Macaca mulatta: one gene and its partner. The protein of the gene in region 1 interacts with the protein of each later gene in a biochemical or structural test. Links are inferred from orthologs where the notes say so. Each region holds a gene or a part of one and is shown in the gene's direction. Other genes may lie near its edges.

What was found. The genes of interacting proteins can lie anywhere in the genome.
Region 2: of the proteins of BMP1 (region 1) and CHRD, one has a biochemical effect on the other in vitro, tested with the Homo sapiens proteins (3 studies listed by BioGRID and IntAct). The link is inferred for Macaca mulatta from reciprocal best matches to the Homo sapiens genes BMP1 and CHRD.

The regions. Positions count from the first base shown.
Region 1 is NC_133413.1:23,816,975-23,820,474, forward strand, and holds part of BMP1 (bone morphogenetic protein 1 precursor), read left to right. Parts: intron 1-1,891; coding exon 1,892-2,005; intron 2,006-3,500. UniProt on the Homo sapiens protein: Metalloprotease that plays key roles in regulating the formation of the extracellular matrix (ECM) via processing of various precursor proteins into mature functional enzymes or structural proteins.
Region 2 is NC_133407.1:96,518,918-96,523,073, forward strand, and holds the start of CHRD (chordin), read left to right. Parts: upstream 1-1,356; 5' UTR 1,357-1,713; coding exon 1,714-1,861; intron 1,862-1,898; exon of another isoform or gene 1,899-2,086; coding exon 2,087-2,190; intron 2,191-2,588; exon of another isoform or gene 2,589-2,616; coding exon 2,617-2,746; intron 2,747-2,877; coding exon 2,878-3,006; intron 3,007-3,097; coding exon 3,098-3,197; intron 3,198-3,311; coding exon 3,312-3,399; intron 3,400-3,767; coding exon 3,768-3,909; intron 3,910-4,011; coding exon 4,012-4,156. UniProt on the Homo sapiens protein: Dorsalizing factor. Key developmental protein that dorsalizes early vertebrate embryonic tissues by binding to ventralizing TGF-beta family bone morphogenetic proteins (BMPs) and sequestering them in latent complexes.

The DNA.
Region 1 (3,500 bases):
GTTAAGTTGTTGCTTTTGGGACCTCAGTTTTCTCATCTATAAAATGGAAGTTTGGCCTCGATGACTGCCACAGTCACTCCCACATTCTGTTGATCCTGTCTAGGTGAGGGTGTGTCTCTGGGCATGTATTTGCAAGCCAGAAGAATATCAGCGTAGCAATTCATTCATTTGAACATCCTGGAGTGTCTCCCGCCTGAAAGTGCAGTGCTGGGCGCTGCTTTCGTGTGCAAGGATGTGTGTCTCTGGCTTTGATGGCTCTGCACTGGATGGCAAGGGTGTGGATGCCACCGTGTGTCCGTAGGAACACTAACCTTGGGTGTCTGATTCTGTATGTGATGAAGTCAGTGTGTGTGTGTGTTCACCAGTGAGGCCAACTGGGGAGGAAAAACCTGTGTAGAAGTCCTCAAGGTTAAAACAATTTGTGTAATGCGACCGCCAGGCCTGTATAGCGCTCTGCCTGGATGAGAAGCAGATGTTGCCGTGGGTGGAGCTGCAGGGAAGCCGCTGTGGGTCCCACCTCTAGCCCAGCCTCCCGCCTCCCCCAGCCCAGCTCAGCTCAGCATGCAGCTCCCATATGAGCGCCTTCCAAAGCGGCCAGTTCTATGGCCTCTGCTTCCTTTTCTACAGATTTCGCAAAAGGGAGACAGACAGTTCAGCCGGGTCTCTGGAAACATCCCTCCTCAGCTCCACATACTGGAATCGGAATGGCCCTTTAGGGAGGCTCTCTTCCCCTCTGGCCTTTCTGCTTGAGCAGCCTAAGACTTGGAATAGGAATTACTTGAGAACTGTTAAACTTTTTTCTCCTAGCTGGGAAGCTCCCGGAAGGTATCTTCGTTTCCCAAAGATGCTTATCTGTTCTAATGAAAATTGGTGCAATTTTATTTCCTTTTTTTTTTTTTTTTTTTTTTTGAGACAGGGTCTCACTCTGTTGCCCAGGCTGGATTGCAGTGGCATCATCTCAGCTCACTGCAGCCTTGACCTCCCGGGCTCAATTGATCCGCCTGCCTTAGCCTCCAGAGTGAGTAGCTGGAACTACAGGCATGCATCACATCACCATGCCTGGCTAATTCTTGTATTTTTTATAGACACAGGGTTTCACCATGTTGCCCAGGCTGATCCTGAACTCCTGAGTTTAAATGATCCGCCCACCTCGACCCCCGCAAAGTGTTGGGATTACAGGTGTGAGCCACTGCACCTGGCTTACTTTATTTCATAGACCCCCCCAACCTTGGTTAAACTGAAACAGCATTTGCTGAGTGAACACCACATGCTCAGCACATCCTGTTTTATTTTCTTCATAGCTCCCGTTGCTATCTAGAAGACCCTAGGTCAGTATTTATTTACTTGCATATTATGGAAGGTTAGCTCCACAGGAGCAGGGGCCTCTTCTGTCTTGCTAATGACTAGGGTATTGTCTCCACCACAGTAGTATGTTAACTAAGTATTTGCTGAAGAATGATGGCTCTGTGGCTCATACCTGTATTCCCAGCCACTGGAGAGGCTGAGGAGGCTGGAGCATCTCTTGAAGCCAGGATTTTGAGACCAGCCTGGGCAACATAGCAAGATCCTGCTAATTTTAAAAAATTAGCTGGGCACAGCGGTGAGACCCTATCTGCCCCACACTCCCCAAAGAATGATGAGCTAACAGCCTGGTAGGGACTGAGCATCAGCTTTATTGGGATTTTTAACTGAAAAGTAAGCATGAGCTTCCCAAGAAATTCTATAAGCTGATCCCTAACTGCCCTTCTCCTTCTTGTTCAGATGGCATTTGAGGATCACAGTCGCTGTGGAGGTTGGGGGCTGGTGCCCACAGGGGTGGGGCTAGAAGCACGTCGCACCCAGGGCTGGGAAGGGAGATTAACTCAGCCCTGGCTTCTTCTTTTCTCTTTAGCTGCCTTTCTTGGGGACATTGCCCTGGACGAAGAGGACCTGAGGGCCTTCCAGGTACAGCAGGCTGCGGATCTTAGACAGCACACCACTCGTAAGTCCTCCATCAAAGGTGCAGGTAAGTCGGGTGCCAAAGGGCCCTCTGTGTCCTAGAAATGAATTCCAGTCTTAGGGAAACAAGGACTCTCCCTGTTCCCAGCCAGGCCCTCCCAGGACAGAGGCCATGAGCTTGACCCCAGCACATGGGCCTATCTTCCCTCGGGATATCTTCATCCCTTCCCCAAAGGAGTAGTAAATACAGACATCCCTAGCAACTAAGAACTGACATTCTTTCTGCTTACAGTTTACAAACCACTTTCAAAAGTATTGTCTAGCCTGACTGTCCCCAACCACCTTTAAAGGCGGTGTCAGGACAACTCCTGTTTGACAGGTCCAGAAACTAAGACTCACAGAGGTAAAGTGACCTGCCCAGGATCACACAGCTAGTGAGTGGCAGAGCTGGGACTGGAACCCGAGCTTTCTCACTCCAGATCTTGACACTCTGCCCAACACTGTAATCCCTCCTGGGCTCTCCTGTTCCCACTTTGCAAATTTCTGTGCATCCTCTGAGGCCCATCTCAGGAGCTTCTCCTATTCATCTTTCCCAGTTGCCCCCTAAACATGACTATCCCTCCATTTTCCCTGTTTTCTCCCTCGTCTGTGCTCACACTCTTACCCTGTCACTTATCACACCATATTGAAAGGATTTGCTCCTATGTCTCCCTAGCTGGACTCAAAGCTCTTTAAGGTCAGGGATGCTTTCTTCTTATCCTTGATTGTGGTCCAAACTCCTAAAAATTCATGTGGTACTTGTGCATGGATGCGGGAATGGGAGGGATGAGGGGCTGGGCTGTGTCTGTTCTCTCCAGCCCCTCACTGCTCTGTAGAAGGGTGAAAGCTCCTCACTGCCAATGCTGATGTTTGAGACATGGTCCTGAGAGCACACAAATAGCCCCCCCTTCCCAAAGGGCAGGGGCATGGATTCTTTTTTCTTTTGTTCTCTCTCTCTTTTTTTTTTTTTTTTTTTTTGAGACAGGGTCTCACTCTGTTACCTAGGCTAGAATGCAGTGGCACCATTTTGGCTCACTGCAAACTCTGCCTCCTGAGTTCAAGTAATTCTCATGCCTCAGCCTCCCAAGTAACTGGGACCACAGGCATGCAACACCACGCCTGGCCAATTTTTTATATTTTTAGTAGACACGGGATTTCACGGTGTTGGCCAAGCTGGTCTCGAACTCCTGGCCTCAAGTGATCCATCCTCCCTGGCCTCCCAAAGTGCTGGGATTACAGGCATGAGCCACCATGCCAAAGGGCAGGGATTCTTATTGAGGGCCTGCTCTTGGAACACTGTAGTGTGCCTGAAGTTTTCCTCTCCAGCTTGAGGGAAGATCCTGATGTGGTACCTTATGGAATAAGGGTAGGTGGCATTGGAGGGTGACCTGGTGGCCTGCTAACAAGTAAGGCTCATGTGACCTTAGTGGGGACTAGTAGGTATGGCACAAGGGAAAGCTGCATGGAGGGGTCCCCTGCTAAACTACCAGGTGACTTTGGGCAAAGCTTTGGCTTTAGTTTCC
Region 2 (4,156 bases), on another chromosome or scaffold:
GTCTTGTTATACCCCTTTTCGAAGTGGGAATACGGATATTGCCCACATGAGAGAAATCTCCTGTTATGGGCTGGTGTTATGGGGAAAGGGTTTAGACTGGTTGAGAGGACTGTCAGGTGCGGGGCGCATATATGTGCGCAGGCATGAACCGGGTTAAGCCTGGGCTTAGGTGCTGGTCTGCTGGGGTCTAGTGACTTGGAGGGCTACACACACAGCTCTCTGTGCATGGGGCCCTCCTTTGCTTGTTCTGTCTCCCTCTTCCATCTCCTACCGTTCCACATGTGACAAGAGGAATAACCAGGCCCATGTGTCCCTGTCTTAGGAAAGACAGCTGCTGGACCTCCCCCGCAAATACCTCCCTGCTGGCCCCCCTTTTCCTTTGGCCCTGGCTCTAGCTCCTTTGCTTTCTTCCTAGTCCCAGTCTCCCCACAGTCTCTGTCCTCAGGGGTGTCCCAGCCTGACCTTGTTCCCATCATCCCCCTGTCCCCTAGAACTTCCTCAGACTCTCTCCTGTTCCTCCTCCCCAAGGATGGGCATGTCTGCTGAGAAGTGTGGCCTAGATCCTGGAATTTTCCCGACCAGCCAGACGAGATGTCTCCCAAGATTAGGAAGGAGGGTGCTGGGATAGCTGGGAGGATAGTGGGTGTGTGTGGGTGGGAGAGACAGGGAGGCAGGCATGACCACTGGAACTAAGAGAAAGGAGGCTGGGAGTGGGTTGGAGAGGCAGAGGGTCCCTTGGGTGAAGGAAGGGGGTGAGGAAGCAAGAGGGGATGGTCGAATGGGCCTGAGGATAAGTTACAATGAGAGAGAGACACTGTCATTCCACAGAAAGGGGAATGCTGCCGCTTTCTGGCTAGGTCCGTGTCCTGGGTAACACAAGAATGAGGAGCGACCTCAGAGAGGAGGTAGGGAGGCAGGCTAGGCAGTGAGAGAGGGTGGTGAGGGTTTGAGGGGCGCTGTGGGCCGGGGGAGATCGGCTGATGGGCCTTTCCTGTACGTTGTCATCTTTTAAGACAAGTCTTCATCCTTCGGGCGGAACCGGGTCCTGCTCACTGAGCGGTCCAGGCCTCAGGCCTAGCCTCTGCCCCTCCCTGGCCTGAGGCTCCCCTCCTGGGCTGGACACCGACCTCCTGGTCCAGCCGCCCTGTGGCCGCCAGCAGCGGGGGGCTCCGGGCCCGCCTCTCCTCCCCCTCTTCGCGCCCCCTGGTCCCTCCCCTCCCCCTCCCCCGCTCCCCTTCCTCCTCCCGCTCTTCCCTCCTCCCCTGCCCGGTCCCAGGCCCTCCCTCCCCTCCCCCACCCGCGATCCGGGCCGCTGCTGCTGGGCCGGACCCCCCGGGCTCAGCCCGGCCCCTCGCCGAGCTGCCGCCGCCGCCCCGTTTGCTGAGGAGGAGGCCCCCGGCCGGGGCGTCGGGCGCGGGGCATAAAACGGGCCGGAGCCGGCGCCCGGGGCAGTAGAGCCGCGTACGGCCCGGGTCAGCGCCCGACTGCCCGCGCTCCTCCCGGCCGCTCCTCCCGCCCCGCCCGGCCCGGCGCCGACTCTGCGGCCGCCCGACGAGCCCCTTACTGCACTGCCCCGGCCCCGGCCCCGGCCCCGGCCCCCTCCCGCCGCACCGCCCCCGGCCCGGCCCTCCGCCCTCCGCACTCCCGCCTCCCTCCCTCCGCCCGCTCCCGCGCCCTCCTCCCTCCCGCCTCCCCAGCTGTCCCGTTCGCGTCATGCCGAGCCTCCCGGCCCCGCCGGCCCCGCTGCTGCTTCTCGGGCTGCTGCTGCTCGGCTCCCGGCCGGCCCGCGGCGCCGGCCCTGAGCCCCCCGCGCTGCCCATCCGTTCCGAGAAGGAGCCGCTGCCCGTTCGGGGAGCAGCAGGTAGGTGGGCGCCCGGGGGAGGCGCGGGCGGAGATACGGGCTCGGGGCGAGTCAGCGCCAGTCCGGAGGGGGCGCGGGGCGCAGGTGGCTCGGCGCGGCGGGCCGCCCGGAGGGTGGGCGGGGGCTGAAGGGCGCGGTGCCCGGGACCCGGGACCCGCGGGCAGCCCCGGGGGCGGCACACGGCGCGAGCTGGGCAGCGGCCTCCAGCCAAGCCCGTCCCCGCAGGCTGCTCCTTCGGCGGGAAGGTCTATGCCTTGGACGAGACGTGGCACCCGGACCTGGGGGAGCCCTTCGGGGTGATGCGCTGCGTGCTGTGCGCCTGCGAGGCGGTGAGTGAGCCCCGCGGCCGGCCCGGGCCCTGACTGGTGGGGAGCGCGAGTCGCGCGGACGTCGAAGTGCTGAGAAGGAGCCCAGTCGGCAGATGTTGGGGATGCTTTTCTGGTGGAGGAAGGGGAATCAGCCCCTTCAAGTCTTAGGTGCTGTTACTGATCGCCCACTCTGTGTGAGGCTCTGTGCCAACTCCGTTTCGTTCCCAGCTCACCTAACTCCCATGGCAGCCTTGCTAGATAGCGAGAGTATTATTATCCCCATTTTCCAGACAGGGACCTTGAGGCCCAGAGAGACGAAGTAGCTTGTCTAGGGTCACGCAGATTGTAAGTGGCAGAGCTGGCTGACTCTGCGGGACATCCTTGCCTGGGGGTCTCATCAGTTGGCTTCTTGCGCTCACTTGGGTTTCCCGCCTTTTCCGGGAGCAGCTTCAGTGGGGTCGCCGTACCAGGGGCCCTGGCAGGGTCACCTGCAAGAACATCAAACCAGAGTGCCCAACCTTGGCCTGTGGGCAGCCGCGCCAGCTGCCAGGACACTGCTGCCAGACCTGCCCCCAGGGTAAGGCTTGCTCCGCCCTGCGGGGAGGGAGGCAGGGCCAAGGTACTGGGTCCTGGGCCACTTGGATGGGGCTTCGGACTGGCCCTTCCCACGGCCAGCTGAAGCCCGTGTTCTTACCCCGCCCCCTGCAGAGCGTAGCAGTTCGGAGCGGCAGCCGAGCGGCCTGTCCTTCGAGTATCCGCGGGACCCGGAGCATCGCAGTTATAGCGACCGCGGGGAGCCAGGCGCTGAGGAGCGGGCCCGTGGTGATGGCCACACGGGTAGGGGGCTGGCGAACAGCGGGGTTGTGGTTGAGGCTGGGCCACCAAAGCAGCGTTTGACAGTGCTCAGGCCATCTTCCTCCCGTCCCAGACTTCGTGGCGCTGCTGACAGGGCCGAGGTCGCAGGCGGTGGCACGAGCCCGAGTCTCGCTGCTGCGCTCTAGCCTCCGCTTCTCCATCTCCTACAGGCGGTGAGAAAGGGGAAGGAGCAAGGAGGGGTCAGCTGCTGGCCAGGAGGGAAACTGGGAGAGCTGGGAGGGGCTGCTTTTGGCCCAGTCTGGCCTCACCCGACCTCTCATTCCCAGGCTGGACCGCCCTACCAGAGTCCGCTTCTCAGACTCCAATGGCAGTGTCCTGTTTGAACACGCTGCAGCCCCCACCCAAGATGGCCTGGTGAGATGATGTCATTTATGAGCACTTGTCCAGTCTGGGCACTGTGCTGAGAGCATGCTCTGCATTGCCTCCAGTGGTCCTCACCACAGCCCAGTGGGAGGAAGGCACTGACATTATGATGACCATTTTACAGAAGGGGGAACTGAGGCTCAGTAGGAGAATGTGATTTGTTCAAGGTCACACAGCTAGTAAGTGGTGCAGCCAGGACTGGAACCCAAGCATCTGGCTCCAGGGTTCTTTCTTAAGCTTCCTAGGGCACCCTGGAGGTTCCTTTCCATGTTCCTTTTTCATGAGGCCTGCCTGGACCTCCTAATTGGCCTAACCTGCACAGTGTCTGAGCGTAGGGCCTTCTTGTCTCTCTGCTCCAGGTCTGTGGGGTGTGGCGGGCAGTGCCTCGGTTGTCTCTGCGGCTCCTTAGGGCAGAACAGCTGCATGTGGCACTTGTGACACTCACTCACCCTTCAGGAGAGGTCTGGGGGCCTCTCATCCGGCACCGGGCCCTGGCTGCAGGTAGGGAGCAAAGAGCCCTGGGCATGAAGTTCTGAGTTTTCTCTATCCCCAGGAAAGGGGAGGGGGCGTTCTGACGGGCTCTCATCATCCTCCCTTCCCCAGAGACTTTCAGTGCCATCCTGACTCTAGAAGGCTCCCCAGAGCAGGGCATAGGGGGCATCACCCTGCTCACTCTCAGTGACACAGAGGACTCCTTGCATTTTTTGCTGCTCTTCCGAGGGCTGCTGGAACCCAGGAGTGGGGGTAA